4 linked regions of the Lonchura striata genome follow. The protein of the gene in region 1 interacts with the protein of each later gene in a biochemical or structural test. Links are inferred from orthologs where the notes say so. Each region holds a gene or a part of one and is shown on either strand. Other genes may lie near its edges.

Region 1 (7,731 bases):
GCTGCAGATTGAGCTTGACTATGAGCCAATTTCCATACACTTATTTTCCTTGGATAGCAAGCTGCCTTGCCCTGCATGAGACTACAAATCACTGACTATGGACATTCAGGGTGGTCCATGTAACCGAGTCCTAACTAAATGTAAGTACAATAAATAGTTTTAGGAACTATCAGTTCAAGATGAGGATATATAATTCCCTAATTTTCCATATTCCAAGCAAAATAGAGTTTATTGGTGACAGTCAATTAGGTACAAATTTCAAAAACATTGCAGAGGTGACTATCAACTGATAAACTGCTTATTCCTTAGAAAACATTTTATTTTAGAAGTCCCACTTTATAAGAGCATCCTAACTGTTCTTATAAAATTTAATATCTGATGAAAACTTGTTAATTACTTAAGAAAATTCCTTTCTGTATTAACTGTTTCTGATGAATTTGATATTCCCATTGAACATTTTTATTTGGATTGTTAGGACTCCAAGTATTGACAAACATTTATCAGAACTGTGGATCCAGAGAAGACCAATGGAAACATTCGATCTGCTGATATGTGTTCTATCTAGCTTACAATATTCAAATCACAACCTGAGGTAACAGAGAGCTTATTAGCTGTTTGAAGTTCAAGTAAGAAAGCAAGGGTCTTTTAAAAACCAGAAATCCTAAAGGTTACAAGGAAGGGAAATAAGGAAAAAAAAAAAAAAGTCCTTATAAAGATTTAAACAGGTCCCTATATACAGAACAGTTGGTAGCAGCAATGAAACTCATTATTTTAAAATCTGACCCTTTTTGTTCTAGTACACAATTTATATTACATTAGATCCCACCATCTATGTCAGACAATAAAGCTCTATTGACTGCTCTTTACTCAAGTGCACTCTTATTTTGCTCTAGAGTTTCTAAGCTGCTCCAATCATTGCCAGAGAAATGGCAGAAAACTACCTTATTTACTTAAATATTATAATAAATAGAAATATAAATAAATTATATTCATAAACATATATATACAGGAACTACTGGCTTTCTACACCAGTACCTTCATATTTCTGAAGGAGCTTGCAGGGTTTATGCCTGCAGTCTGACTTGGGCCAGAACCTGCTATATTGATCTACTAGGCAAATTAACTCTGCACAAGTTAGTGGAACAGCAGCAACCCACAATACTTTTAACCAGTTAAGGAGGGGAGGTGAAGAAAATTCTCACTTCAGGTATGTCTCTGACTGTGTTTATTCTCTTATGTAATTTTTTTTATAATGCCAAAAGTAAAAAGGAGGGTGATTAACTTTTAAGTCAATTAAAAAAAATTAAAAGTGCCAAGAGACTGCACTGAAATCAGGACCTCATTACTTTGCCAGCACTGTAAAGTGAGAATTTATTCACAAAGTTTGCAAACAAATAGCAGTGAATGAAGCAATAAGACAGATCTCTACTTACATAGTGTGAATGTTTGTAAACACCAGAACTGAATGTGAAAGGAGAGGTGTACAAGACACTATATGAGGAATGGGATTTGAGCTTTGCACTGGCTATGAATTTCCCACTGCAACACAACATAGTAATGCAAAGGAGGTCCAGAACTTCTAAACTGAAACACTGTATGACTGCAAATGTAGGCAGATAGAATATTAAAATTAATTTTAAAATTCTGCATTAGAATGAAGTATTTTAAGAGAGTTAAAATTGAAGTTAATCACTATCTTCCTTATGCAATTCTGAGAGACTTGTGCTGTCATTTCACACCTACTTCTTGTTATGATTGATGTTTTATTTCCAAGTTCAGACTTCTGGGCAGAGATTTTATAAACTAATGAGCTTTATCTTGAAAATAACTGCTGCTTCATATTCCTACTGCTTAATAATTAAAAAAAAAGAAGCAAGTGAGTTGGACAGAAATCTGGAGCTTATAAACATCCTCTATGCATAGTATAGTCAGATATTTAATATATGCCTGCCAGGAAGGAGCTGTTTTGTATGACAAGTCTGGCAACTGTACCATAAGTACAACATCAAATTGTGGAAGTACCACACCTAGTCCAAATGGGCCAATGTTAAATTACAGGAGAAGGTAGGCAGAACCTTAAATTGCAGAACTTACTCTTAGCTAAAATATTCCCCCTGACTTTAAAAAACTATGCTACCACAAGTCCCAAGGATATAGCTACATATATATGAATTCATAGTATAAAATCGTGCATTTTGGAAGTTTGTCAAACCATGGCAAAATTCAACATGGACACATCAAAATTATATTAGATAACATTATTGGTAATTTAGAACCCTACATTACACAGCATTCACGTGGCTTAATATTTATTTTCTATTCCGCCTCCTTCTGCCGGTAAAAACAGAGACGCAGCCAGTGGCGTCTGCAGTAAGTTAGAACGCTTGTCCCCTTTAAATGCCAGTGGTGACAGCGCCCTTCTACAGCTCGGAGCACTCCATGAAGCGGCCCAGGAGACACAGGGCAAGTTAAGGAGAAATCAACAAGCGGAACAAGAGCTTTTATCCGGGAAGGGCTGCGCGCCCGCTCATCCCGGGAGCGCAGCCGGAGCGGGGCAGCGGCCCCGGCCCGCCCGGCCCTGACCTGCTGCACGCCCGCCGCTCCCGGGTACAGATCCAGCACCAGCAGCAGGGGCACGTGGACGTTTTTGCCGCTGAAGAGCCGGGGAGCTGTGGGGGGACAGAGACAGAGACCGCGTTAGCGACCGGCGGCGGGCGGGACGGGGCACGGCACGGCACGGCACGGCACGGCACGGCAGGGCAGGGCAGGGCAGGGCGCTCACCGCTCTGCCGGGCCGCCAGCTCGAGCAGGTCGCTCAGGGTCTGCACCAGCGTCTCCAGCCGCTTCCTCTCCTGGACGTTTTGGAGCCGGACGACCAGCTTCCTCAGGGCTTGTTCCTCCCCCGCTACCGCCTCCTCCTCCTCGGGGCCGCCGCTGGCCATGGCCGAGCCGCTGCCCTCTCTGTGCCCATCCGCCGGTCGGCGGGACGAGCGCAGGGCCGGGCCGGGCCGGGCCGGGCCGGGCTGGGCGGCGCGGGCCCGTCCCGCTGCTGCAGCCCCGCAGTGCCGCCGCCCGGCCGCCGTCACCCGGCCCTCCCTGCCGCGGCCTGCGGCCCCTCCCACGGCGCTGCTCCACGGACACGGCCAAGGCCCGGCCCCCGCGGGCCCGGTACCCCCGGGAAACGCCCGCGGGCCTCGCGCAAGCGCCCGGCGAGCAGAACGGAGCCGCGGGCAGCCCCCTCACGGTGATTGACGAAAGAGCTGCCCAATAGAGCTGCCGAGCTGGACCCGGGTCCGCCCGGCAGGGCCTCGGTATAAAAGCTGGCCAAGGGTAGTGTGTCACGGGTGGTTTTGGTTTCTGGGTCGTGTGGGGTTTGCGGGGTGGGGATCTGTGAGCCTGTGGGATACCTACACTGAGGTAATCTGTTCCTGAAAGGCTGCACCCTGTGGAAGGGTGTGGAGTTGAGCCTTGGAAGAAGGGAGGGGTGAGGTGAAGGTGTTTTAAGATTTCATTTCCATCTCTAATTGCCTTACTCTAATTTGTTTGGCAATAAACTAATTTCCCCCAGTTGAGTCTGTTTTGCCTGTAATGGTGATTGTGAGTGATCTCTTCCTGTCCTTATCTTGACCCATGAGCTTTTTGCAATGTTTTTTCTCCCTCTCTAGATAAGGAGGTGAGTTCATGGCTTTGCTGAGAAGCTGGTGTCCAGATGGGGTCAACTCAACCACAGTTCTTTTTGGCTCCCACCACATACTCTTGCCTGAAACCAGCTGTCTGAAATTTTCAGTGTGTATCTTCTGTGCACCTTGATAGTAACTGTTGTGTAGTTTAAGTCTCTCTGCTTGTTCCAGCTCACGGCTGCCTTGAAGTCCTGGATCCCTTGTAGCTCTTTCAGTAAATAATTTGTTGCAGTTATAGATTCTGGAGCTAGACAACTTGAGCCTGAGTTAATGTTTCCTCTTCTTTCCACTTATATTGGCAAAGAATAAAAAACTCTGGTAGTGTTTCTGAGGTTCCTGAATAAATACAGCAACTAGATCAGGTGTCTCAAACACTGATCTTCTAACATGTCTACCAAGGTTCATTCCTCTGCAGGTAGCAGTTCCCTGGAGTGCTGGTTGGAGAGGATGCCAGCTTTTGCTAAGTCTCTGAAAGTCTGGTAGAGTTTGACAAAAGTCTTCTGAAGCATATTAATTAGTTAGACAAGAGGAGAATGTAAAGAATGTGGTAGTCTTGGTAAGCATCTATATTGTAGTTTTCCTGGATTTTTCTAGGAAAATCTGATGAAGCTATATTAATGTATCTTCACCAGAATGAATGGGAAAAATGGGTTCAACTTCAAAACCAGTAAGTTTAGGTTGAGTACTAGGGGAAAAGTCTTTACTGTGGAGGTGGTGAAGCACTCTAACAGGCTGCCTGGGGAAGCTGTGGATGCCCCATCCCTGGGGATGCTCAAGGCCAGGTTGGATGGGGCTCTGAGCAACCTGGTCTGGTGGAAAATATCCTGGCCCACAGAAGGAAGGTTGGAACGAAATGGTCTTCAAAGTCCCCTTCCAACCCAAACTATTGTATGATCTGTAGAAGTGATTAGAGGTTGTGACTGAGCTGTCTTGTGTTGAGGTCTGGCAGGAAAATTGAGGTCTGATAGTAAAGTGTCTGAATGTCATTATTATCAGAGTATGAATAAAGGGCAAAGGACTTTACCTCTGGAAAACCTCTTAAATATTTTTCTGCTCTAAAAGTTTCATATATTCTGACCTCTTTCAGTTTCATCAGTGGGTGTGGATGATTTACCATGAAGACCATAACAAAGGGCCCCAGATCTTTAAGTAATTTAAACAATTTGTTCTTTTTCTGTTGGGTCTCAATGTGTTTATTCCATGTCTTCTGTCCTCTGTAAGCTGTAGCGTGTTGTGTTATGCACATAGTTTGAAAAGACTGTACAGAGTCACAGAATTAACTGGGTTGGAGAAGACATTTGGGTTCATTGAGTCCAACCTATGACTAATACCGCCTAGTCAGCTAGACCATGGCACTAAGTGTCACATCAAGTATTTTTATTTTAAACATCTCCAAGGACAGGGACTCCATTTCTGTTTTGGCCGCAGGCTGTAATTCCACAACATACAGTCTTCTGATTTGACATAGCAATTTCCTTGGCCTCATCATCCAATGTATAATGCATATTGTTATATTTTCTTGAAATCAGTGTAATGTTATGTATGAATGGAGGATGCATTGACCTTAGAGAAACTTTCTGAGTGACCAAGATGTTAGATTTGAGTCTACTGTAACTATATTTTGTTTTAGCTCCATGTAGAAGTTGATTGGAATAGGAGCTTCTTTTGGAATAAGGCTTCAAAGGAACAGGCAAGCTGCTAGAAAACACACCAGAAGACCCTCAAGAATTTATTTTGTCCAAGTTATGGCCCATGTCTGGTCCTAAGGCTCATCCCATTCCTAAGATTTGTTTTTGAAATGAAATACAGGTTGGACCTCCAGGTTGATTTGGGTTGTAAAGGGGCCATTTTTGCCTTCTGTTCTTAGTCATCTCTAATGTCTCTTCTAAAAAGAATTTTCTTGTCTTGGGTCCATTTCCCTCTTTTGGCTACACGCATTTTCATGTTTGGAATCACATTTTCTGCTACGTGTTTGAATTCAGTCCGTCCTTGATATTAACCATCTCTGATTGGCTTTTGCCATCAGCTGTGTGGCAGGTCCCTCATTTCTTCACCCTTCCTAGCTTTGGTGTTGACACTGATTTAAATGTTCTATGCTGCTTATAGGGTGAGATATTAGGATGCAGAGAATGATTCTTGGTCAGTTGTAAAAGGATTGTATGTTGCAGTGTATGTTTCAGAACTGAAACTTCATCTTTTTGACAGGAGAGGGAGGCTGTGTGCAAGAAAAGACCGTAAGTTGTTTCTGCATTGCTGGGAAGGAAGGTGTTTTTCTGGAACAGTTCTTTTCCCTGTATCCTTGCTATTTCATTTGGGCTTTTGAGTGGCTGAACTCTCTTTGAATTTTCTTTCTGCTTGGTTTTGTCGGGGGGGGGGGGGAATGTATGTGTGAATGAGTTTGGGTTTTTGTGGGGGAGGTTCTGAATGCTTTTTGTTTGGTTTTGTTTTCTGAGGCTTTTTTGTTGTCTTTTGTTGGTTCCTCCCCCACCCCCTTCTTGCTCTGCCATTATTTTATTTGCAGTGCTTTACACCACCTGGTGAGCCTGCTGAAGCTGTGTTAGGTATTGCCTGGGGACTCTCCTTTGCAAGCTATTTCTGACCAAGAGCAGTGTCAGTCAGATCCATTTTTCCACATTCAGTTTTGTCTCATCATGCTTCCACCACAGAGGAGAATGAAAATTTAATTACACAAGATTTTATAACCACCTTTTTTTTTTTTTTAAATCTGCTTTGAAGAGCCCATGCATATTTATCACTGAAGGCATAATACTCTGAATAAATATTCTTTCCATTGTTACATCCCCATTCTGTGTGTTTTAACCCTGCAGCTGGAGAGGGGATTCTGTTAATTTGAATGACAGAAAGTGCTCAGACAGAGCCTGTTCAGAAGTGATATGACAGTTATTTGATTGACCTCTGGACAAAATGCTGATAAATGGTCCATCTGCTTTTATGTCATAACCAGCAGGGGCTCTGTGGTGTTAATGAATTCATTGCTTCAGAAAACAGTGGCAGAGCAGGTATTCTACCTCAACCTCTTCAGCTCTCATTTTAGCTATCAGGGACTTCAATTTTAAAAATATTTAGTACTGTGCATAGGCCCATACTTGTTCACTGCTCTCTGTATGAGAAGGTGAATCATGTTCACAGCTTCCAAATGGATGGGCTCAGACAGGCAGTCTCTCTGCTGGTAGGGGACTGGCTGATGGCTGGGCCCAGAGAGTGGTGGTGAATGGTGATACATCCAGGTGGTGGCTGGTCACAAGTGATGCTCTCCAAGGGTCAGTATTTGGACCAGCCCTGTCTAATACATTTATCAATGATGTTGACAAGGGGATCACAAGGGGATCAAGTGGTTCCTGTCACTCTGTGACAAGTTGGCACCAAAGTGGAAGTGTTGATCTGCTGGAGGGTGGGAAGGCTGTGCAGAGGACATTGGATGGGATTGATGGACCAAGAATAATTGTGTGAGGTTCCACAAGGTCAAGTGCTGAGTCCTGCACCTTGGTCCCAACAACCTCTCAACAATGGAATGCTGAAGGCTAGGGCAGAGTGTTTGGAGATCTAACCAGTGGAAAAGGACCTGGGTGTGCTGGTCAACAGCAGCTGAACGTGAGCCAATGTGTGGCCAAGAAGGCAAATGACATCCTGGCCTGGATCAGAAATATTGTGGCCAGCAGGACCAGGGCAGTGATTGCCCTGTACTCAGCCCTGGTGAGGCTGCACCTCAAATTCAGTATTCAGTTTGGGGCTTTTCACTGCAAGAAAGACACTGAGGTGCTGGAGCAAGTCCAGAAGGCAGTGAAGCTGGTGGAGGGTCTGGAGCACAAGTCTTAGGAGGAGCAGCTGAGGGAGCTGGGCATGTTTAGCCTGGAGAAAAGGGGGTTCAGGAGAGACCTTATTGGTCTCTACAATTTCCTGAAAGGAGGCTGTAGCCAGGTGGGGATCAGTGTCTTCTCCCAAGTAGCAAGTGATAGAACAAGAGGAAATGTCCTCAAGTTGTGTGAGGGGAGGTTTACCATCTAAGCTAAGAAAAATTTCTTCCTTGAAA
Region 2 (7,757 bases), on another chromosome or scaffold:
TAACTAACATTACATCATCTTACCCAGGGAGGGGCACAATTTCCGTAGAGTAAGAACTACCTCTTACAACCACAGCAGCACATTAAAATTGCAGAAACCAAAGACATCTAGGATACATATGCTGCTTTAAGGCAGAAGGGGCACTGGGGTAGGAGAAACCCCCAAACTAAACCTGCATATAGTTCAGTCTCAGGGAAACACGTTAAGCTTTCTTAACTACTACTTTATGTACAATGTTTCTACATGCCTCCAAGTTTATTAGCATTCATAACTATAATTTGTATATAAATAATCAGCATATTAGAGGGAAAGAAAAATTCAGACATTTTTTTAAACAGAAATAGCATAGGAGACCACAGGTTTACTGACAGACTAAAAACAGTCCCAGAGGGCCCAGCACCATTTACTTTGCAACTCTAAGTAAAAATGGATCAACAGTTTCATTATTTCTCACCAGCACATCATTGCAGATGTCTCTTAGCTCAGTCTCAATTTTCTCTCTGTATTCGCGAGCCATCTGCTGTTTTTTCTCAGCGCCTTCCGTCTTTTGTTCAATACTTGAGACGACTCTCCAAGATGACCTACGGGCTCCTACAACATTTTTATAGGCAACAGAGAGAAGATTCCTCTCTTCGTTGGACAACTCAGCTCCTTGCTCAGTCACAGATTTCATGCAACTTGCCATGTCATCATATCTTTCAGCCTGCTCAGCCAGTTTGGCCTTCTGCACCAGCTCATTTTTATCCATGTTGATATTTCTGAAGAGGAAAAATAGCGAGGCATTATTCAGACATTGGTCAAGGACAAAGGTGTTTAAACTTCAAAGGCAGAGCACCGTGTATTCTCTAATTTGGAACTGGAAGAGACACAACTGAAATCCAGCACACAAGGCATACTAGCAGCACTGGCTGCTCAAACACATGGACACATGGAGTAGAGAGTTAAAACCACTGCTTCCTCCTGAAAACTGTAAACTTTTAAGTATGTTATTTTAATAAACACAAACAAAAGCATCCAAAGGTGAACTGAAACCAAATAATTTCTATCTTATGCACAAAAACGATCCTAATTCTTTGCCACCACTTTTTCATAAGGCTACATTATCAGTGTAGCAAAACTGACAAAGAAAATATCCAATAGTAAGCTTTCCACAGGAGACAACCAAATAAAGGCTGGACAAAGAATATCAAGCAGCATTCTGAACCTTAACAGAATCAGTTACATGCAGAGGTACTTCACATAAACACCTGCAAATCAAATCCCACACTGGATGTTAAAAAGTCATAGTGCAACAAATATCTAAATTGTGAGTTGTACACCTTCCCACAATGCTAACTCCCTTTCCCAAAATGGGAATCCCCATTATGGGATGTTCTGTATCAGATATTGCTGCTCTGCCTGGGAGGCTGTGCTTTCACAGACAAAAGAAAATTTTACTACTTAAAAATATGACCTCAACATCAGTATTTCAGACAGCACAACCTAGCAGAAAAACTTCAGAACCTGTCTTATCAGCACAGAGGTATTGAGAAATTTCTTTTGGCACAGGAAGCAAAAATACTTCTGCCTCACCCCCCATCTTTCTGTGTACCCTAACTTGATCATTTGGAGGAATGTGCTTAGGGGATACATTATCCTTCGAAGTTTAACAAGATTATTAAAGCATGAACCAGTTTTGGTCATGAGTGCTTTATCTATTTCTGTACGTTCCAGACACCCCAACCAAGCATTTTCATTTTTAACCACTAAGACTTTTGCCATTTTATGTGACGTTAGGAGAAACAATGGCATGGCTTGTGTTCCATCTTTGGGAATAAACTAAGCACATTTTAACATTCCAGGTGACTGCAAATTTTAACGGCTCCTGTCCCCAACGGGGAGGCACAAACTCGTTTGTGTGCAAACGCCCGTTGGAGAACTTGCCCAACCGCGCGCGGCGGGGTTAAGGAGCCATTTTAAAGCGAGCTTTTGGTGGTGGTTATCTACCACTCGGCTTGACCGGGGCAAACGCGGTCACAACGCCGGCCCCGCCGCCGGTCCCCGGGGCACCGCAGGCTGCCGCGGCAGCATCCCCGGGCGGGCCGCCGCCGCCCCCGCGGGCTGGGCGCTGCCGCGGCTCCGGCACGGGGAGCGCGGTGACAGCAGAAAATGGAGCGGCCCGGGGGCGGGCGGAGCGGAGGGCGGGGCGGGCGGGCGGCCCCGGGGCGCTGCGGCCGCCCCTCCCTCCCTCCCTCCCGCCCTCCTCGCCGCGCCCGCCGCGGGGACACCGAGCGCCGCGCCCGCCGCCTTTGTCACGGCGGGTGGGCGCCGGAGCCCGGCCCGCCCCGATCCCGCTCCCCTCCGCCCAGCGCCCCCGGGGGAGGATGCTGCGTCCCCGCCCCGGAATAGGGAAAGCCCGCGGGTCCATCCCTGGGGGATTCGGCGCGGGGGAGGGGGAGCGGCGGAGGAGGAGCCCCCTCTAGTCCCGGGGGAGCCGCCGCTCTCGCCCGGACCCCTCGGCCGGGGCGGGGAGGATGGGCGAGGGGGGGGCCTGGGCGGAGGGAGGGAAGGGAGCGCGGCCGCGGCGACTCTTCCGCGCCCGGGCAGGGCTCCCGGCGGGAGACCACACCCGGCAGCGCCGCCGCCCGCGCCCCGGCCCCCGCCCGGCAGGGGCGGCGCTCCCCTCCCTGCGGGCGCGGGGTCGCCCTCACCTGCCGCCCCCTCCGCCGGTGCTTTCCCCGTTTTCCCCGGCGGAGAAGGGCCCCCGCCGCCCCGCGCAGCGGCCCCCGCGCCCCGCTCCCTCCCCGTGGAGCCGCGCCGGGGGTGGGGGGAGCGGGGCGGGCTGGGCGCTGTCCCCCGGCCGCCCCGCTCAGTGCTCCCGACCTGCGGCGTGCCGGGGAGCCGGTGCCGGGCGGCGGCCCCGTTACCTGTGCGCGGCGGGCGGGCGGGCGCGGGTGCGTCGGTGCGGGCGGGCGGCCGGCGCGGACTGTGCGGTTCTGGCGCTCGCGGCGCTGCAGCCTCGCTCCCTCCCTCCCTCTCCCGGCGCCGCGCACGGGGCGTCTCCGCCAATCACCGCTCCGCTCCGCGCGGGCCGCGCGCCGCCCGTGACGTCAAGCGGCGCCATGGCAACGGAGCGCGAGGGCGCGCGCGAACCTTCCCCCCCCCGCTCCCCCGCCCGCGGTCACGCCCAGAGCCGGCGGCGGCCCCGCCCGCGGGCGCGCGCCTGCACCCCCGCCCCACCGCCGAGCCGAGCGGGGCGGCCCGCGGGTCCCGGGGGCGCCGCGGGTTCGGGGCCGCGGCCCGCCCCCACGTCCCGCCCCCGCCGCGGCGCCCGCCCCGGCCCGGCGGGGAGGGCTCCGCACCCGCCCGGGGGCGGCGGAGCGGTGCCCGCGCCCGCGGCACGGAGCGGGGGCGGCAGCACCGTCTCCTCGTGCGGCCGCGGGCCGTGCGCGGATGTCACCGCCGCCCCCCGCGCACCCCGGGCGGGCTCTCCAGGCTTTGTGCCGCCCCGAGCGCCCAGTCCGCCCCGTAACCCCCGCCGAGCCCCGTGCGTGGCGGGTGGCTGAGCCCCGGGGCGCTGGGGGGGAGCGGGACTGTCCCGGCACACGCGCGGCCGCGGGAGCGCTCCGCATCGAGCCGCGCCCGGAGCCTCATCCTGCACCGGGAGCGCGACTCGTGCTGGGCGTTAAAAACGAGAGGGCCAGAGGAGGATGGGAGGCCGGGGACGGCGGCAGCGCCCTGGGAGATCCCCCCGGGGCTGGCGGATGGGCGCTCAGCGGCTCTGCAGGCGCAGGACGGTCCCTCTGGAAGCCCCTTCCCTTGGAAAGGCAAGCGGGCATTTCGGACAGCACCATCCAAACGTTGATGAGAACGTGCTGACAGGAGTAGGAAGAGTATTAATAAATATTGCTGTTGTTGGAAATGCTTTTTCATTTTCTGGAAAAAAAAAAATCCCACCCTGTTTCCTAAAGGTCTTGGAAGTCGGCATTCCCTTGTCCCCTTTCTGAACAACATCCCCCAGCTTGAATCTTTGTCTCAAGTATGCAGTGTCCTGACCTCTCCTGCTTTCTCCTGGGCTCTGGGATCAGCACTGTCTCACAGGATTAGAAATGAAATGGAGAGTAATAAGATGGAGAAAGCACGTCGAAATATTTTTTGAAAAGGGCCAGGTGTTGTATCTGGCAGTGCCATGGGCCAGGAGCATCTCCAGAGCGGGATTCCCTCCCCGGGGCTTGCTGCAGGCTGCCGTGCCCGCGGCAGACCCGGGAGCTCTCCGCCCCGTTCCCGTTCGGCGCAAACCGCACGGAAAGTCGGCTCCGGTCACGTGCCCGGGCCGCGTCCCGGCCGTGCGGCGGGAGCGGGCGGCGGGAGCGGGCGGCGGGAGCGGGCGGCGGGAGCGGGCGGCGGGAGCGGGCGGCGGGAGCGGGCGGCGGGAGCGGGCGGCGGGAGCGGGCGGCGGGAGCGGGCGGCGGCGGCCCCGGGCGGCGGCGGCCCCGGGCGGCGGCGGCCCCGGGCGGCGGGAGCGGGCGGCGGCGGCCCCGGGCGGCGGCGGCCCCGGGCGGCGGCGGCCCCGGGCGGCGGCGGCCCCGGGCGGCGGCGGCCCCGGGCGCGGCTCCGGCGGGGCTCGCTCGGCTCATCCCCGAACGGCTCCCGCGGGAGCAGCCCGGCGCAGGACGGGCCTGTACTTATGTCTACAGCCATAAAAGTCTGTCGGTGGGACACAGCGAGGGAGTAGCGTAGGAGGAGTGAGGCGCTTCCTTCTGGAAAGCAAGAAGAAGTTATGGATGTATTTGTTGTTCTAGAGTGGCCGGGAGCAGGTTGGTTCGGTACCAGAGATAACAGCATCTTCAGGTTCTCCCGCAGATGCCTCCTGCTCTTGCCTGCACGCCTCTCTCTCTTTTCCAGGCAGTTCAGGACAGCTTCCCAGTGTGGTCTTGCACCCTGCAGTGACAAAGTGACTGTGGACCTGTGAGTGAGATAAAGTGATGAGAACGCCGTCCCTTTCATCTTCAAAACAGTGATCCTGTATTTTGACTGAATATCAGAAAGGTCCTGCTTTAAAATCCTCCTGTCAAAGTTGACTTTTTAAGAACTAGGCTTTTTTTTTTCATTATATCATATAAAGAGCAGTTAGTTTTTCCATGGTGGCGTTTTACCTGCAGAGTTTGTTTCTGATTTCTTACTACCCTTCCTCATGGCCTAAGATGTATGTTGGGGTTTGTACTCCATATAAGTTTTGCCCATCAACCTCTGTCATCTTCCACATTAACAGTAAGATATTTTTAAAAAATATATTTCTCATAATTTCTGGTTCCTTCAATTAACTCCAATGTTTAATGAATTTCACTCAAGTTCCTATGGGATATTGTTGGAAAGCTTGTGAAAAGAGCTAAAAAAAGCAAAAGAGGCAATAATGTGCAGAGTGAAGCTCACCAGAATTTACTAGCTGTGTCAGGTGAGAACATCACTGTTACTTAATTTAAATGTGAAGAATATAACCCTACTCTTTGGTTTCCAAATGATACTTCATTGGCCTATACAGGTACAGAGGGAGATTTTTGGAACAAACATTGTAAGGCTCAGGTTCATAATTTATTCCAATACACGAGGCTTCATTTTATATGTTTTTATTTTTTACCATTATTTTCCACTTTAGGAAGCAATAGGAGGAGAGCTTTAGAGCTGTACTTGAACACAGATGGTATGGTGGCACAGCATTTGCTGCATCTTGTTTCAAGTTATGTTACAGAGTTCATTTTTAACATAAGCTAAAAACCCTTATTTTGTAGAAAAGTCTCATTGAAATGGCAACCACCCAAATATAGAGCATACATTTTCAGAGGTACTTGAATATTTTCTGGTAACATGATAAAAAAAATTAACTGATGCAAGAAAAATGATAATCCTTAAAAGTGCATAAAGAACCCTGCAGACTGGAGCCTGCATTAGAATGAAGCACAAATGTGTATTGCATTTTGATATTTCCGGGAAATATAGGGGAATCCTGTGTGAAGTAGGCTGCAATACTGTAGGCAACGTTAATAGTTTTGTGGAAGGAAAACATCAGCCTTTCCATTCTGTCCTTTCCATTACTTTTGGTTTTGGAGGGAACGGAACATGTCCTGCAACAACCCGAATTGCCACTAACCATAGTTTGTGTTTGCTAGCAGCCCCGTGCGTCAATAGACGCTGCACTCTTTCCCCTTTAAGTGGGCTATTTTTGCCAAACACCATTTCCACTCCTCTGGATTTCATGAACGCTGCCATTTGGAGCAGATCCAAGGATTTAGATGTTACTCACCTTTGCATATGCTGTCTCTTAAGCAGATACTCGCCTGCTGTCTTTTATTCTTACATTTCCTGCACTTTTCCCCCACTGTAGAATGTTGTATTTTGTCTTGCATATTGCAGTTTTGACCAGGGAACTCGGTCTCTTAAATACCAAGGCTTTAAGCAGCTTTCCTCTTCTTCAGATGCTTTTTCTCTGTTGCTCTCCTCACAGCTTTTTGTTCGATGACTTGCACTTTCACTATCTCAGACTGTCAGGCGGCAGCCAGCAGCAAAAACTCATTTGTAGAGTTAGAAACATTTGCATATGAAAGTACCTATATGCGTGTTTATTTACACTCATTCTTACTTTACTTTCTTACATGAGAAGAAGAAATGGAGGGATGGGGAGGGGAAAAAATTACTCCAGATATATTTTATTTCCCCTCTAAACCAGCTTTTAGTTCTTCCCTCTCATCCTTTCTCCACAAGTGCTTAGTTATTCTTTCTTGTGCTTAAACATAATTAATTAAAAATAGATGAGTACAAGATTGGGTTATCCCCATGCTAGAAGAGTATGTCATGATTTTTGGGGGTCAACCTCACATAGACAGGAGCAAGAGCAATAACCCAGGAAATCCGTAAGAATAGCTCTTAGAAGTCGGTGAATGCTGTCAGGACTGGAAGGCTCCGTGGTGGTGACTCTTGGTACTAACCAGGCTGCTGCTAGAATATAGAGATGTCCTGAGTTACTGTTGGTTGGTGTTTGTGTTGGTTTTGGGTTTTTTTGGGGTTTTTTTTGCTTTTTTTTTTTTCCTGGGAACAGAAAAATGAGCAAAGGCAGCCTAGCAAAGGGCATTTCCCCAGAGACCAGGAGATGATTCTGCAAATTTACGGCCTGCAGAGGGAAGAAAAGAAGAGCTGGCAGCTCTGTTGTGTGTTCTACTGTTAAGAGCTACATTTTCAAAAGCTGCTTGCTTAAAATCCTGACTGTTGTGATTTTGTTACATACCTTTCTGGGCTGATTCTCTGGCTACATGATTATATACATCTGTGTGTATTTTTATGCAGCCTTTATGTGCTTCTGTAGAGTTTTGAATTTCTTTCTCCCATTTGGCAGAAGGAAGATCCTTTACTTTCTGGAATAAAAACATTTATTGACATTTTTAGGTATATATTGTACTTATCTTTCCTTGGCCACTGCCTGTGATTTGCAAGCCAAACTTCAAGCTTTGCAGAAGCTTTTGTTCACCTTCTTTGTAGTCTGATTGTGCTTTTGGATCAATGGATACTCTTCTTCCTCGGGACACTCTTGTAGGTTGACCATCCTGAAAGACTTAAGTGAAGGATGCATGCATTTAGAGTATTCTTTTCTTTTTTGTTCCCTCCCCCATCCCCAGTGTTCTAAAATGAGTCAGATTCTGACTCTCTGTCTGGTGCCAATGATAAAACATGAATTGTGGATAAGGCTAGTATTTTCCATCATTGAGTGGAAAGTAGTTGGAGCTGCT
Region 3 (7,261 bases), on another chromosome or scaffold:
CCAAAATGTCCCTAAGAGCCCAAAAATGTCCCTAAACTGCCCCAAAATGTCCCTAAACTGCCCCAAATACCCCAAGCCAACCCCAAAATGTCCCCAGATCCTCCCAAACCCCTCAAACTGCCCCAAATCTTCCTGAACATCCTCGAACGCCGCCCCCACAAAAACCCCAAACAAACCTGAACAGCCCAAAATGTCCCTAAAATGCCCCAAACACCCCAAAATGGCCCTAAACTGTCCCAAATACCCCAAACCTGCCCCGAACACCCCAAAATGGCCCCAAACAACCCAAAATGGCCCTGAACTCCCCAAACTCCCCGAACCTGTCCCAAATACTGTCCTAAAATGTTCCTAAAGGCCCCCAACCACCCCAAAACTGCCCCAAACAACCCAAAAGTGTCCCTAAGCTGCCCCAAATACCCCAAACCTGCCCCAAATTCCCCAAAATGTCCCTAAATTGCCCCAAATACTCCAAACCTGCCCCGAACACCCCAAAATGGCCCCGAACAACCCAATATGGCCCTAAGCTGCTCCAACCACCCCAAACCTGCCCCAACCACCCCAAAACTGCCCCAAACAACCCAAAAGTGTCCCTAAGCTGCCCCAACCACCCCAAACCTGCCCCAACCACCCGAAACCTGCCCCAAACACCCCAAAATGGCCCTGAACAACCCAAACCTGTCCCAAATACTGTCCTAAACTGTCCCTAAAGGACCCCGAATACCCCAAAATGTCCCTGAAGGGCCTCAAATAGCCCAAACCTGCTCCAAACAACCCAAAAGTGCCCCTCAAGTGTCCCAAATACCCCAAAATGTCCCTAAACTGTCCCGACCACCCCAAACCTGTCCCGAACATCCCAAAATGTCCCTAAACGGTCCCAAACACCCCAAAGCTGCCCAAACACCCCAAACACCCCAAAATGTTCCTAAACTGCCCCAATCACCCCAAACCTGCCCCAAACACCCCAAAATGTCCCTAAACGTTCCCAACCACCGCAAAACTGCCCCAAACCACCCCAAAACTGCCCCAAACCACCCCAAAATGTCCCCAAACGTTCCCAACCACCCCAAAACTGCCCCGAACTCTCCAAAGCTGCCCCAACCACCTCAAAACTGCCCCGAACACCCCAAACCCGCCCCAACCACCCCAAAATGCTCCTCCCAGCCCCGCTCTCCCCCGGCCCCGCTCTCCCCCGGCCCCGCTCTCTCCCCCGGCCCCGCTCTCTCCCCCGGCCCCGCTCTCCCCCGGCCCCGCTCTCCCCCGGCCCCGCTCTCTCCCCCAGCCCCGCTCTCCCCTCCCAGCCCCGCTCTCTCCCCCAGCCCCGCTCTCTCCCCCGGCCCCGCTCTCTCCCAGCCCCTCTCTCCCCTCCCAGCCCCGCTCTCTCCCCTCCCAGCCCCGCTCTCTCCCCCGGCCCCGCTCTCCCCGGCCCCGCTCTCTCCCCCGGCCCCGCTCTCCCCCAGCCCCGCTCTCCCCCGGCCCCGCTCTCTCCCCCGGCCCCGCTCTCTCCCAGCCCCTCTCTCCCCTCCCAGCCCCGCTCTCTCCCTCCCAGCCCCGCTCTCTCCCCGGCCCCGCTCTCCCCCCGGGGGCCCCGCTCTCTCCCCCGGCCCCGCTCTCCCCCGGCCCCGCTCTCCCCCGGCCCCGCTCTCTCCCCCGGCCCCGCTCTCCCCAGCCCCGCTCTCTCCCAGCCCCTCTCTCCCCTCCCAGCCCCGCTCTCTCCCCCGGCCCCGCTCTCTCCCCCCGGCCCCGCTCTCTCCCCGGCCCCGTCTCTCCCCCCGGCCCCGCTCTCCCCTCCCAGCCCCGCTCTCCCCCCCCCAGCCCCGCTCTCCCCTCCAGCCCCGCTCTCCCCCCAGCCCCGCTCTCCCCCCAGCCCCGCTCTCCCCTCCCAGCCCCGCTCTCCCCTCCCAGCCCCGCTCTCCCCCAGCCCCGCTCTCCCCTCCCAGCCCCGCTCTCCCCCAGCCCCGCTCTCCCCCAGCCCCTCTCTCCCCCGGCCCCCGCTCTCTCCCCAGCCCCGCTCTCCCCCAGCCCCTCTCTCCCCCCCGGCCCCGCTCTCTCCCCGGCCCCGCTCTCCCCCAGCCCCGCTCTCCCCTCCCAGCCCCGCTCTCCCCCAGCCCCGCTCTCCCCCAGCCCCGCTCTCCCCTCCCAGCCCCGCTCTCTCCCCTCCCAGCCCCGCTCTCCCCCGGCCCCGCTCTCTTCCCCAGCCCCGCTCTCCCCCAGCCCCGCTCTCTCCCAGCCCCGCTCTCCCCCAGCCCCGCTCTCTCCCACAGCCCCGCTCTCCCCCAGCCCCGCTCTCCCCCAGCCCCGCTCTCTCCCACAGCCCGCTCTCCCCCAGCCCCGCTCTCCCCAGCCCCGCTCTCCCCTCACGGCCCCTCTTCCCTCCCAGCCCCGCTCTCCCCCTGCCCCGCTCTCCCCTCACGGCCCCGCTCTCCCCAGCCCCGCTCTCCCCCCCGGTCCCGCTCTCTCCCCCGCCCCGCTCTCCCCAGCCCCGCTCTCCCCAGCCCCGCTCTCCCCTCACGGCCCCTCTTCCCTCCCAGCCCCGCTCTCTCCCCCTGCCCCGCTCTCCCCTCACGGCCCCGCTCTCCCCAGCCCCGCTCTCCCCCCCGGTCCCGCTCTCTCCCCCGGCCCCGCTCTCCCCCCGGCCCCGCTCTCCCCCAGCCCCGCTCTCCCCCAGCCCCGCTCTCCCCTCCCTGTCCCGCTCTCTCCCCCAGCCCCGCTCTCCCCCAGCCCCGCTCTCCCCTCCCGGCCCCTCTTCCCTCCCCCCCCCCCAGCGCGGCCTCCCCTCGGCCGCCCCGCCCCGCTCCCCGGGCCGTTCCCACCGCCCCCCGGCCCCGCTCACTGGGGCGGGCGCGGGCGGGGCCGATGTCGAGGTTGAGGTCGATTCTCCGCCGCGCCTCGCGGTTCTCCTGCTTCAGCTTCGCCTCCAGCCGCGACAGCTTCTGCTCCAGCGAGGACGCCGCCATCTTCCCCCCCCCGCGTGGCGCATGCGCGGGGCCCGCGCGGGGCGGGGCTTGGAGCCCCCGCCGGCCGCCGTACGGAGGGAGGGAGCAGAGGGCGCCGCCATCTTCGCCCCGGTTCCACCACTGCGCATGCGCGGGGTGACAGGGGCGGTTAAGCGCCTCAGCCGCTGCTGTGGATTGGGGAGAGCTGAGGGGCGGACAAGGGGGGTTTGGGTTCCTTTGGCCGCTGTAGGAAGGCGGGATGAGAGGGTGGAGAGGGCACGGCGGCTTTTTGGCCCCCTGGCCGCCGTACGGAAAGGGGGAATACGGGACGCCGCCATCTTCACCAGGAAAGGCTACTGCGCATGCGCAGAACAGGTGGCCTTTGGGCCGCCGTAGGGAAGAGGGACGCGGCGTTTATTCGGCCCCGCCGGCCGCCGTAGGGCGGGGAAGAAGGAAGGGAGCGGCTTTTGGGCCTGTCCGGCCGCCGTAGGGAGCCATGGAGGGGGGGATCGATCTCATCGGGCCCTGTGGGGGCAGCGGGGGCTCTTTAGGGCTCCTGGGGCCCGGGAGAGCACTGGCGGGGGGGGGTGCAGAGGATGCTCCACAGCGGCTCGAAGCGCATCGGGAGCGTTGGGGCATTTGTGGCTTTAGCGGAGTTTGAGGCCCTTCCTCGGGCACTTTACGCTGGTTTGGGGGCAGTTATTGATTCTTTAGGGAAGCCTGAGGCTGTTCTGGGGATGTTTGGGGCAGTTTGGGGGTGCTGAGGCTGTTCTGGGGCAGTTTGGGGATGTTTGAGGACATTTTAGGGGTGCTGAGGCTGTTCTGGGGTAGTTTGGGAGTGCTGAGGCTGTTCTGGGGATGTTTGGGGCAGTTTTGGGGTGCTGAGGCTGTTCTGGGGTAGTTTGGGGGTGCTGAGGCTGTTCTGGGGTAGTTTGGGGATGTTTGAGGACATTTTAGGGGTGCTGAGGCTGTTCTGGGGTAGTTTGGGAGTGCTGAGGCTGTTCTGGGGTAGTTTGGGGGTGCTGAGGCTGTTCTGGGGCAGTTGGGGGATGTTTGAGGACATTTAGGGGTGCTGAGGCTGTTCTGGGGTAGTTTGGGGTGCTGAGGCTGTTCTGGGGCAGTTTGAGGACATTTTAGGGGTGCTGAGGCTGTTCTGGGGTAGTTTGGGGGGCTCTTGAGGCTGTTCTGGGGCAGTTTGAGGACATTTTAAGGGTGCTGAGGCTGTTCTGGGTAGTTTGGGGGTGCTGAGGCTGTTCTGGGGTAGTTTGAGGACAGTTTAGGGGTGCTGAGGCTGTTCTGGGGTAGTTTGGGGGTGCTGAGGCTGTTCTGGGGCAGTTTGGGGATGTTTGAGGACATTTTAGGGGTGCTGAGGCTGTTCTGGGGTAGTTTGAGGACAGTTTAGGGGTGCTGAGGCTGTTCTGGGGTAGTTTGGGAGTGCTGAGGCTGTTCTGGGGTAGTTTGGGGGGTCGGAGGCTGTTTTTGAAGCTGCTTTAAGGGGCGCGGCTTTTGGGCCCGGCCGGCCGCCGTAGGGCCGCGATTGGCGCCGGTCTCCAGCAGGAGGAGGCATGCGCAGATGATGGTTCTCTACAGCGCATGCGCGGAGCGGAAGGCGCGGGCCTGGCGCCCCCTGCCGGGCGGGAGGACCCGCGCATGCGCAGCAGCCCCCTTGCCCCCCCCATTCCACCCCAGCCCCTTCTGGGGGACTCTGAGACGGGAGGACCCCACCAAAACCCCGAGATTTTAATATTTCTTTAATTTTTTCGTTTTTATTTAAAAAAACCCAAAACGAGCCAGGCCCGGGGAAAGGGGGGGCACAGACTGCGGGGGGGGGGGGGACGGTTAGGGGGGCTTCCCCCTCCTCGTGGCCAAGGGATGGGGGGCCGCACCCTAATTTGGGTGGGGGGGCACGGGCTGGGGAAGGTTAAAACATCTCCGGGCAGAGCCCCCCCAACCCCCTCCCCCCGTGGTAAAAATCCCCCCCAAGAAAAGGGGGATCCCCTAAAAAGGGGGCTCCCTCAAGGAGGGGTGACCCCACCCCAAGAGGGGCCCCCCCAAAAGAGAGTGACCCCAGAAGGAGCGGGGTGTCCCACCCCCAATGCGCCCCAGAGAGAAGGCACCCCACAAGAGGGGCGACCCCCCCCACGAGGAGGGGTGACCCCCCAAAAGAGGGATGATACCCCCCAGAAGAGGGGTGACCCCCTCAGGGTGTGGGATCCCCCCAAAAGAGAGGGGAGGACCCCTCTAAAGAGAAGTGCCCCCCCAAAAGAAGGGTCCCCAAGGAGAAGTCCCCCCAAAAGAGGGGGTGGGATCCCCCGGAGAAATGACCCCCCCAAAGAGAAGCGCCCCCAAAAACAGGGTGAGACCCCCCCCAAAAGAGAGGCAGGGCCTCCAAAGAGGGGTGTCCCCCTAGAGCAGTGCCCCCCCAAAAGAGAGACCTCTCAAAGAGGGGTGGGACCCCCAAAAGAAAGATGGGATTCTCCCCCAAAAGAGAGATGAGACCCCCCTCAAAAGCAAGGCGGGACCCCTCAAATGAGAGGTGGGACCCTAAAGAGAGGCAAGACCCCCCCCAAAATAGGGATGGGACTCCCCCAAAGAGAGGTGGGACCCCCAAAGTGAGGTGGGAACCCCATGACCCCCGCCCACCCCCAAAGTCTCTGTGTGCAGCAGCGGGGGGAGGGAGGAGCCCTCCCAGATACCGAGGTGTCCCCACGGGTTTGGGGTGTCCCCGTGGGTCTGGGGGTGTCCCCGCGGCTCTGGGGGGGTCTCTCAGGCCGGGAAGGGCTCCGGGGGGGGGCTCCTCGTCCTGGAAGTGGCTGCGCTGCAGCAGCTTCACGTGGTACTCGTAGATCTTGAGCGCGGGGCCCAGGCGGATGGAGAGCCCCGTGAGCACATCGGCCCTCTGCATCAGCAGCAGCGACTTGCCGTCGATCTCCTGGGGACACGGGGACAGCGAGGGACATTGGGGACAGCGAGGGACACCGGGGACAGCCACAGGGACAGGGGACACCCGGGGGGATGCAGGGACAGAGAGCCCCGTGAGCACATCGGCCCTCTGCATCGGCAGCAGCGACTTGCCGTCGATCTCCTGGGGACAGCGAGGGACACCGGGGACAGCCACAGGGACAGGGGACAGGGAGGGACAGCCACAGGGACAGGGGACAGCAGGGGACAGAGGGGACAGGGTGGCCCCACCTGCTCCTGGAAGGCCCCGGCCTGCTCGGGGAAGCCGGCCTCGGTGAAGTACTCGACCACGTCCCGCACTGACCACTCCACCGGGTCCACGCCTTGTCCTTGCGCCCGGCCCTGGGGACAGGGACAGCGTCACGGGGACACGCGGGGACACCATCACTGGGACACGGGGACAGTGTGGGGACACACGGACACGGTCACCACAATGGGGACACTGCGGGGACACCATCACTGGGACATGGGGACACCGTGGGGACACGGTCACTGGGACACGGGGACAGTGTAGGGACACACAGACACGGTCACCACAATGGGGACACCGTGGGGACACGGTCACTGGGACACGGGGACAGTGTAGGGACACACAGACACGGTCACCACAATGGGGACACCGTGGGGACACGGTCACTGGGACATGGGGACAGTGTGGGGACACACGGACACGGTCACCACAATGGAGACACCGTGGGGACACGGGGACAGTGTGGGGACAAACAGACACAGTCACCACAATGGGGACACTGCGGGGACACCATCACAGGGACACCGTGGGGACACGGTCACTGGGACATGGGGACAGTGTGGGGACACACGGACACGGTCACCACAATGGGGACACTGCGGGGACACGGGGACAGTGTAGGGACACACAGACACAGTCACCACAATGGAGACACCGTGGGGACACGGTCACTGGGACACCAGGAGGGCCAGGGGGACACCAGGACCCGGTCACTGGCATGGGGACACTGTAGGGACAGGTTGTCACAGCAACAAGGAGGTGACACAGGGACATGTTCACAGGGACAGGGGACATCCAGGGGACATGGACACAATGGTCATGGGGACACGTGGGGGGACACGATGGTCACTGGCTGGGACATGGGTGACACAGAGAGACACAGAGGGACGCTGGGTGGGACACAGGTGACTCACAGGGACATGAGGGGACGCTGGGTGCCACAAAGGGACACAGAGGGACACCAGGGGACGCTGGGTGCCACAAAGGGACAGGGGACACTGGCCCCTGACTCACGTGCAGCTGAACGGGGCCCCCTCGGCGGCCTGGGGCCCGGCCGGCCTGGGGACAGCGGCACCGAGGGCTCAGCCCCCGCCAGCGCCGGGGACACTGCGGGGAC
Region 4 (7,010 bases), on another chromosome or scaffold:
AACTGTGAGGCAGCACTTCAGCCTGGGTTACCCTTCCAGAATTCCAGGTGCGCTGACACTGTACCTGCCACTAAAGGTGACACATTGGTACCCAAACTCTGCCAGCTGCTGCCCCAAGGCAGCACAGGGCTCCAAACCCCAGGCAGGGGCTGCAAGCAGCAGATCCAGCCCCTTCCACCTCGCTCAAGGTCACACCAGCCCACAGAGCAAACAGAAAACTGAATTTAATTCCCACTGATGGCTGAAAGCTGCAGGTGGACACACACCAGGGGACAGGACGGGGCAGAGCCGTGTCCCTCTGAGCTCTGCCCAGCGGGAATTCCTGCACAGACACTTCCCTTGGCACAGCAGCACTTACACATACCTTGCTCAGGGCTTACACAGATGGTTAATGTTCCAAGGCTTAACCAGGAACCACCCAGCTCCAGCCAACCACGCTGAGCCTCCAGGCATGGATTTCTAGGAACACCACTGAACACCCTGTTCCTTATAAAGGAATTTCATGGAAACAGCTCAAAAACCACAGGCAGAAAAGGGATCCCTCCAAACAGCCCACAGCCTTAACCCAGCAAGTGCTGGAAAAGAGTGTTTGCTTCACAGGAGGAGGCTGCACACCCCTCTGGATCAGGTGTGCCCTGCTCTGCTCCCGTTCCAGCCAGAGGGAAAGGGACTTGTCCTTGTGCCCTCCCCAAAAGCATTAACTAAAGTACACACGTGTGGGCAAACAGCTCCTGCCACCATCTGTCCCGGAGCAACCAACTCCCTGTGGTTTGAACACTGTAAATATACAATAAATACATAAAACAACACGTCCAACAGCTGAGTTCTGCCAAGGAGTTCTCAAAACACCAAAAAGCTTTTAACTGATGATTCTGAGCTCCAGTTTTCGGGAGGACGATCCATCCCTACAGTCAGCTGCCTGGGAGAGGGGTGTTAAAATTCCTGGGAAGCTCCAGGAGGAGGACAGGGATTCCTAGAACTGCAGCTCTGTACCAGAACTGGGAGCTTCCACCTTTCTCCAACAGCCTCACGCCCAGAGCTCCTGAAAGCCAGGGGCCAACTGGAGCAGGACACTCGGGGCAGGACACTCAGCTGGGGCAGGACACTCAGCTGGGGCAGGACACCCAGCTGGGGCAGGACACTCGGGGCAGGACACTCGGGGCAGGACACTCAGCTGGGGCAGGACACCCGGCTGGGGCAGGACACCCGGCTGGGGCAGGACACTCGGGGCAGGACACTCGGGGCAGGACACTCAGCTGGGGCAGGACACCCGGCTGGGGCAGGACACCCGGCTGGGGCAGGACACCCGGCTGGGGCAGGACACCCGGCCTGGGCTGTCACACTCCTGCACCCACCCAGAGCCGCGTTCCCCGCAGCTCCCCGGTGCTGCCAGGGGGTGTTAGCAGGAAAACACACACAGCACGGGATGCTCTGCTCCCTGCAAGCCCCTCAGGGCACACACACAGCCCCGGCTGTCTGTCCTCCAGCAGCTCTGGAGCCTCCCTCCCGTCAGCACCGCAGCAGGGCCGAGCAGCACACGGTGTCCCCAGCACGGGACACGGCGGCCCCGGGCAGGCGGGGACGGCCCCGGGCGCTGCCAGGTGGGCACACCCCGGTCACAAACGCGGCCCAGCTTCTCCTCCTGCTCCAGGCACTCAGGAACTCCGCGGGGACAAAGCGCTGACAGCCCCGGAGGGCTCATTACTGCGCACCACTAATTGCTCATTTCATTTCTGCCGCGCCAGTCGCTCGTTATTTCATTTCTGCCGCCTGACCCGGGGCTGGGGAAGGCTCCCACACCTCGGCACGACTCCTGCAGGTGCTGCTGGAGCCTTGAGCGATTCGCTGCTCCCAAGGAGGGAAGGCAGGGCCAGGACAGCCCCAAAGCTCGGCTCTCCTGCACACACAGCCCGGTGAGTCAGCAGTGCCGCTTCCTTCTCCCCGCGTTCAACCCCTGGAGTCCTGCGGGGGATCGGACAACCAACACCCCCTCCCTGCCCTCCCACGGTTCGTCCTTTTGGCTTCAGCCTTCCTGCTGCTCGCATCCAGCCGGGCAGGGATGCAGCGATCTGCAGCGGCACCGCGGGGAGATTCTACAAGGTGTGGAAAGAAAATCATCCCCAAATCGCCCCAAGCCGCGGCTCAGGGGCAGCAGAGGCCGCTGGAACTCCCCGCGCTGACCCTGTGCCATCACCTGGAACTTCTCTGGGGCCAAACTGCCAAAAATGAACAGCCAAGGAGTGCTGGGGACACAAAACCTGTCTGACAGAGGAACGCTGGGCACAACCAGTTTATTTCTCTTAGTCGAGGATCAAATCCCTACAGGAGGCTCCTCTCCTGGCGGCTCTGGGGCTGCAGCAGACGGAGAGGGAAGGAGCCCACGGCGAGCTGCAGCAGCAGAGCCCCGCGCCTCCAGAAACCGGAGCGGTTTGCGATTGGAAATAAAGAAAAAGGTCCCAGGGATTACTGCCAGGGAAAACAGCAAATATCAGCGCTCAGAATTAATCAGTAACCATGGAGAGGCCGGGGCTGCTCCCTGCCAGGCTCCCCAGCACGCACCCCCGCACCCCCGGGCAGGCGCTGTCCGGCTGCCCCGGTCCCCCGAACTCCACCGAGCCCCGGCACCGGCCGGGGGCTCCCGGCGCTTGTCCCGGGACAGAACGGGAGCGCTCCCCCGGCCCTGCAAACCCTCGCTCAAAGCGAGCCGTCCCTCCCGCGGTGAGACCTCCCCGCTCCCCCCGGCACGGCCCCCGCCGGCCCGGCGCTCACCGCCCGGCGTGGTCCCGAACACGGTGCCCCCCGGCGTGGTGCTGTAGTCGCCGGGCGGCAGCGGGGCCTCGTCGGGCAGGGCGAGGCACTTGCCGGGGCCCGGGATGTCACGACTGGGCGTCTGCCCGTGGCAGCAGCGGCCCGACATGACAGGAGCGATGACGGGAGCGGCACCGGGAGCGGCACCGGGAGCGGCACCGGCGCTGCCGCCGCCCGCCCGCCGCTTCCGGCCAGGGCCACGCCCCTTCCGCCGCGGGGCGTGGCCGGGAAGGGGCGGGGCTTAGCAACAGGGAGGCGTGGCTATGCTAATACAGTTGGACTTTAGGGGGCGGGGCTTAGCGACAGGGGCGGGATATGCTAATACAGATGGGCTCTTCGGGGCGGAGCTTAGTGACAGGGAGGCGGGGCTATGCTAATATAGCGTGTTCTTTGGGATGGGGCTTTAGCGACAGGGGCGGGGCTATGCTAATACAGATGGGCCCTTCGGGGCGGGGCTTAGTGACAGGAGGCGGGGCTTAGCGCTACATGGGCGGGACTCCTGGCGGGTCCCCTTTTCTCCCTTTTTCTCAATTTTTCTCCCCTTTTCTCCCTTTTTCTCAATTTTTCTTCCCTTTTCTCCATTTTTCTCAATTTTTCTCCCTTTTTCTCCCCTTTTCTCCATTTTTCTCCCTTTTTCTCCCTTTTTCACCCCTTTTCTTCCCTTTTTTGGCCCTGGACACCCCTGGCCTGTGCTCCCCGCTTTTGGGGTCGCGCTGCCCCGTGCTTGGCGGGGACCCCGCGGAGCCCCCGGGGGTGTTGGCGGCGCTGCCCCTTCGTGGCCGCCGCTGCCCACGCGGGGTGGCCGCTCTGGGAGGTCCGGGTGCTCCCGTGGCAACGCCGCGGGGACAGATGTCCGCCCGGCTGCCCCCATCCCAAATGGCTTTGCCTCCCCCGAGGGCCGGGAACAAATGCGGGAGGAGCCGGGGGGCCACACACGGGTCCGGCGCCCCCCACGCTGTGTCCCCGAGGGTGCTCCGGTGGGGCTGGAGCTATGGGAAATAGGGTTTGTCTTAATACTTCATTACAGAGGAGATCTAAAGAGCAGCCGAAGTGCGCTGGGAGGGGCGCAGGGTCGGCCGGGCGGGACCCCTGGGCTTGGCATGGGGGGGGCTGCGGAACCCAGGGATGAAACCTGGCGTGAAGCCCCTCCGAGCATCCCTGGGACCACCCTGCTCACGGGTACCCTCCAGAAAAAGCCCTTCATCGTTCCCTGCTCCCCCGGCCGTGGCCACAGGCTCTGCTGACCCTCACCAGACACCGGTGCGGTGCTGACATCTGCTGACGGCCGGGCTGCCGGGAGCCGGGATGCCGGGATGCCGGGATGCCGGGATGCCGGAATGCCGGAATGCTGGTAGACGGGAGCCGGGAGCCGGGATGCCGGGATGCCGGGATGCCGGGATGCCGGGATGCCGGGATGCCGGGATGCCGGGATGCCGGTAGACGGGAGCCGGGATGCTGGGATGCCGGGATGCCGGGACCCCGGGATGCCGGGATGCCGGGATGCCGGGATGCCGGGATGCCGGGATGCCGGGATGCCGGGATGCCGGGATGCCGGTAGACGGGAGCCGGGATGCTGGGATGCCGGGATACCGGGAGACGAGAGACGGGAGACGGGATGCCGGGATGCCGGGATGCCGGGATGCCGGGATGCCGGGAGACGAGAGACGGGAGACGGGATGCCGGGATGCTGGGAGCCGGGATGCCGGGATGCCGGGAGATGAGAGACGGGATGCCGGGATGCCGGGATACCGGGGTGCCGGGATGCCGGGAGCCGGGATGTTTTCCAGCGCGGATGCCGGCGCAGCCGCCGGCAGATGCCAGCAGCGTTTCGGCAGCGCTGAGCCCGTGTCGCAGCACCACGGGGTCACCGAGGCTGTGGCAGGGATTGTCCCGGACCGGGGCGTGAGGCTGCTCCTCTGGTGGGACACAGCAACCCCGGCCTGCCCAAACCATGGCCCCGGCTCCAACAGATGGAGCCCGGCAGCCACGCACGGCTCCGGACCCCAGCCCGGGGCCAGGCTCATCCCGCGGAGCCGCGGTCCCGCCCCGGGGCCCTGGGGGCTCCCGGGGGTCGCTGAGCGTTTTCTGCGGGGCAGCAGCGTCCTGCCAGGCTGGCCATGGACACGGGTGTTTCTGCCCCCGAGGTCCTGTGGGACCCCAGCCAGGCTGTGGTGCCCCCAGGCACCCCCAGGGGCCCAGGCAGGCTGTGGTGCCAAGCAGGCAGCCCTCGCCCTGTGCCAGCTGCTGAATCGATTAGTGGGCACTGGGGCAGGAAAATAACATTTCCGGCATGGAATGACATCAGCAGTGACCCCCAACCCAGAGAGGCGGCCGCTGCCATTTCCTCCTCCTCCTCCTGCTGGAGAACAGTTATGGGGTCAGGGACGGGGGAAGGTCGGGGCTTAGGGCACATCCTGGCTGGGGCAGAGCAGGGTGTCACCCTCCCGGTGCCTGCTGGAGTTCGGTGCTCCCGGCAGCACACAGGGGACAGGGACAGGGACAGGGACAGGGACAGGGACAGGGACAGGGACAGGGACAGGGACAGGGATCCTCCTGCCCTGGACAGGAGCTCCAGCTGCCCGGGAGCTGTCTGCAGGCAGAGAAGAGGCTTTGGGTACTCTCCCACCCACACCACAGCACCCTCCGGTTGCAGAGTGCTCCTCTCCAGGGCATTTTATCTGCCCATTCCACGGGCAGCTCCCAGGGCTGGAAAGCCCTTTGTCATCCTCATGTGATATGAAGTTATCGCATTATTGCCTTCTAAATCGGGAGCAGAAGTGCTCTCCGAGGTGTCTGTCCCTCCACCAGCACTGCCTTTGCTTCTGACCTGGTTTGGATCGCTGGGAGCTGAGCAGGGCTGGCTTTTGGGGAAGAATTCACTCCACTGCAGGTCCTGGGGAAGAAAATGTGTTTCATAAGTCACGAAATGTCCCTGTCCCTGGTGTGAGAGCAGCCCTGGGGGATGGCAGCAGGGGCAGGGGCCATCGCTGGCCCCACTTGCGCCCCACTGGTGCCCACTGGACTGTGATTACAGGAAGGTTTGCTGAGACAGGAAGCAAACAACCCGAGGGAAGGATAAACTCCTGCCTGGCGGGCTGGCAGCTTTCATCTCGCCCCATCCATCACCTCCTGTCTGGGTGTCTCCCGCGCGGGAAGGCTCATCCCCAGCCCCCTCTGCAGCCCACCCCCCTTGGGGGCCTGGGGACCCCACTGCAGCCCCGTGAGGGCGGGGATGGTGACGGACCCCACGGCAGTGAGGATGTCCCTGTGCCGCGGCATTTCCACCCCATCCTCTGTGTTTACATTCCCTCCGATGGCGGCTGGCGATAAGGACAGACCCGGACGAAGCCACATCCCTGCTGCCCGCCCGAGGCTGCTCGTGCAGATAAAGGCTGCCCCATAAACAAGCCCATCCTGCCTTTGGGAAGGGCATCTCCGCTGGCCCCAGCCCTCGGCAGGAAACCCTGTCTGGGACGTCCCCGGCGCTGCTGGGGGTGCTCAGCACCCCAAAACGCAGCCCTGGGTCCTGGAAACAGCCTCAGTGGCACGGGATTCACCCTGGTACCCATGGCCAGAGCCAGAGGAGCAGTGTTTGGCTCTTCCTCCTCCTCCTCCTCCTCCTCCTCGTTGCTGCCTGCAGACATCGGGCTGGAGGCAGACACAGCCTGTGCCGGCTGCAGGAGGGGACATGGGGGCTGGGGCAGGGATGGGTGCTGCTGGGCACAGCTTGGGCAGAGGGTGCCCGGGCATGCAGGGGGCAGAGGAGGGGCAGGGGGAGATCCGGGTGGCACGAGGCAGCTTGGCCGCTGTCCTGTGGTGTGGCTGGGCTGGCAGGCGGCTCCATGTGGCGCTGCTGGCACTCGCTCCCTCATCCCTGTCAGCTTCCCCCCCGCGGGGCTGGACCCTCTCCCTCCCACCCTGCTCTGGGGCACAGCTGGGAGTGCCACATGGAAGCGCCTCTCTCCCTCGGAATGCCCTGCCTGAAAGCTCTCTCTGAGGCTATTTCTGTTGTTGTTTTTTCTCGATACTTCCCACACTTTTTGTGAAATCTAGATCCGTGTTATTGCAAACTTCTCCCTCCTTCCCCCACCCCAGTTTGCTTTAGCAACAGCTGAAGGAAAACCAGAAACAACGGGAAAGGAGCTGTGAAAACATCTGTAAAGTCTTGGCAGCCCTGACGGCAGCAGGAGGACTCCCCCGGC

The links.
Region 2: the proteins of LRRK2 (region 1) and YWHAZ interact on a protein array, tested with the Homo sapiens proteins (3 studies listed by BioGRID and IntAct, with this or other methods). The link is inferred for Lonchura striata from reciprocal best matches to the Homo sapiens genes LRRK2 and YWHAZ.
Region 3: of the proteins of LRRK2 (region 1) and MAP2K7, one has a biochemical effect on the other in vitro, tested with the Homo sapiens proteins (2 studies listed by BioGRID). The link is inferred for Lonchura striata from reciprocal best matches to the Homo sapiens genes LRRK2 and MAP2K7.
Region 4: of the proteins of LRRK2 (region 1) and EIF4EBP1, one has a biochemical effect on the other in vitro, tested with the Homo sapiens proteins (3 studies listed by BioGRID). The link is inferred for Lonchura striata from reciprocal best matches to the Homo sapiens genes LRRK2 and EIF4EBP1.

Annotation. Positions count from the first base shown.
Region 1 is NC_134607.1:58,874,545-58,882,275, reverse strand, and holds the start of LRRK2 (leucine-rich repeat serine/threonine-protein kinase 2), read right to left. Parts: upstream 3,018-7,731; 5' UTR 2,943-3,017; coding exon 2,783-2,942; intron 2,670-2,782; coding exon 2,584-2,669; intron 2,569-2,583; exon of another isoform or gene 1-2,568. UniProt on the Homo sapiens protein: Serine/threonine-protein kinase which phosphorylates a broad range of proteins involved in multiple processes such as neuronal plasticity, innate immunity, autophagy, and vesicle trafficking.
Region 2 is NC_134603.1:21,496,078-21,503,834, reverse strand, and holds the start of YWHAZ (14-3-3 protein zeta/delta), read right to left. Parts: upstream 3,015-7,757; 5' UTR 2,907-3,014; intron 759-2,906; 5' UTR 749-758; coding exon 455-748; intron 1-454.
Region 3 is NC_134623.1:2,354,770-2,362,030, reverse strand, and holds the start of MAP2K7 (dual specificity mitogen-activated protein kinase kinase 7), read right to left. Parts: upstream 3,013-7,261; 5' UTR 2,955-3,012; coding exon 2,831-2,954; intron 1-2,830. Other genes in the region: uncharacterized protein LOC144247275, read right to left, coding at 4,518-4,560, 5,369-5,865, 6,126-6,236, 7,159-7,251. UniProt on the Homo sapiens protein: Dual specificity protein kinase which acts as an essential component of the MAP kinase signal transduction pathway. Essential component of the stress-activated protein kinase/c-Jun N-terminal kinase (SAP/JNK) signaling pathway.
Region 4 is NC_134634.1:4,354,140-4,361,149, reverse strand, and holds the start of EIF4EBP1 (eukaryotic translation initiation factor 4E-binding protein 1), read right to left. Parts: upstream 3,009-7,010; 5' UTR 2,918-3,008; coding exon 2,770-2,917; intron 1-2,769. UniProt on the Homo sapiens protein: Repressor of translation initiation that regulates EIF4E activity by preventing its assembly into the eIF4F complex: hypophosphorylated form competes with EIF4G1/EIF4G3 and strongly binds to EIF4E, leading to repress translation.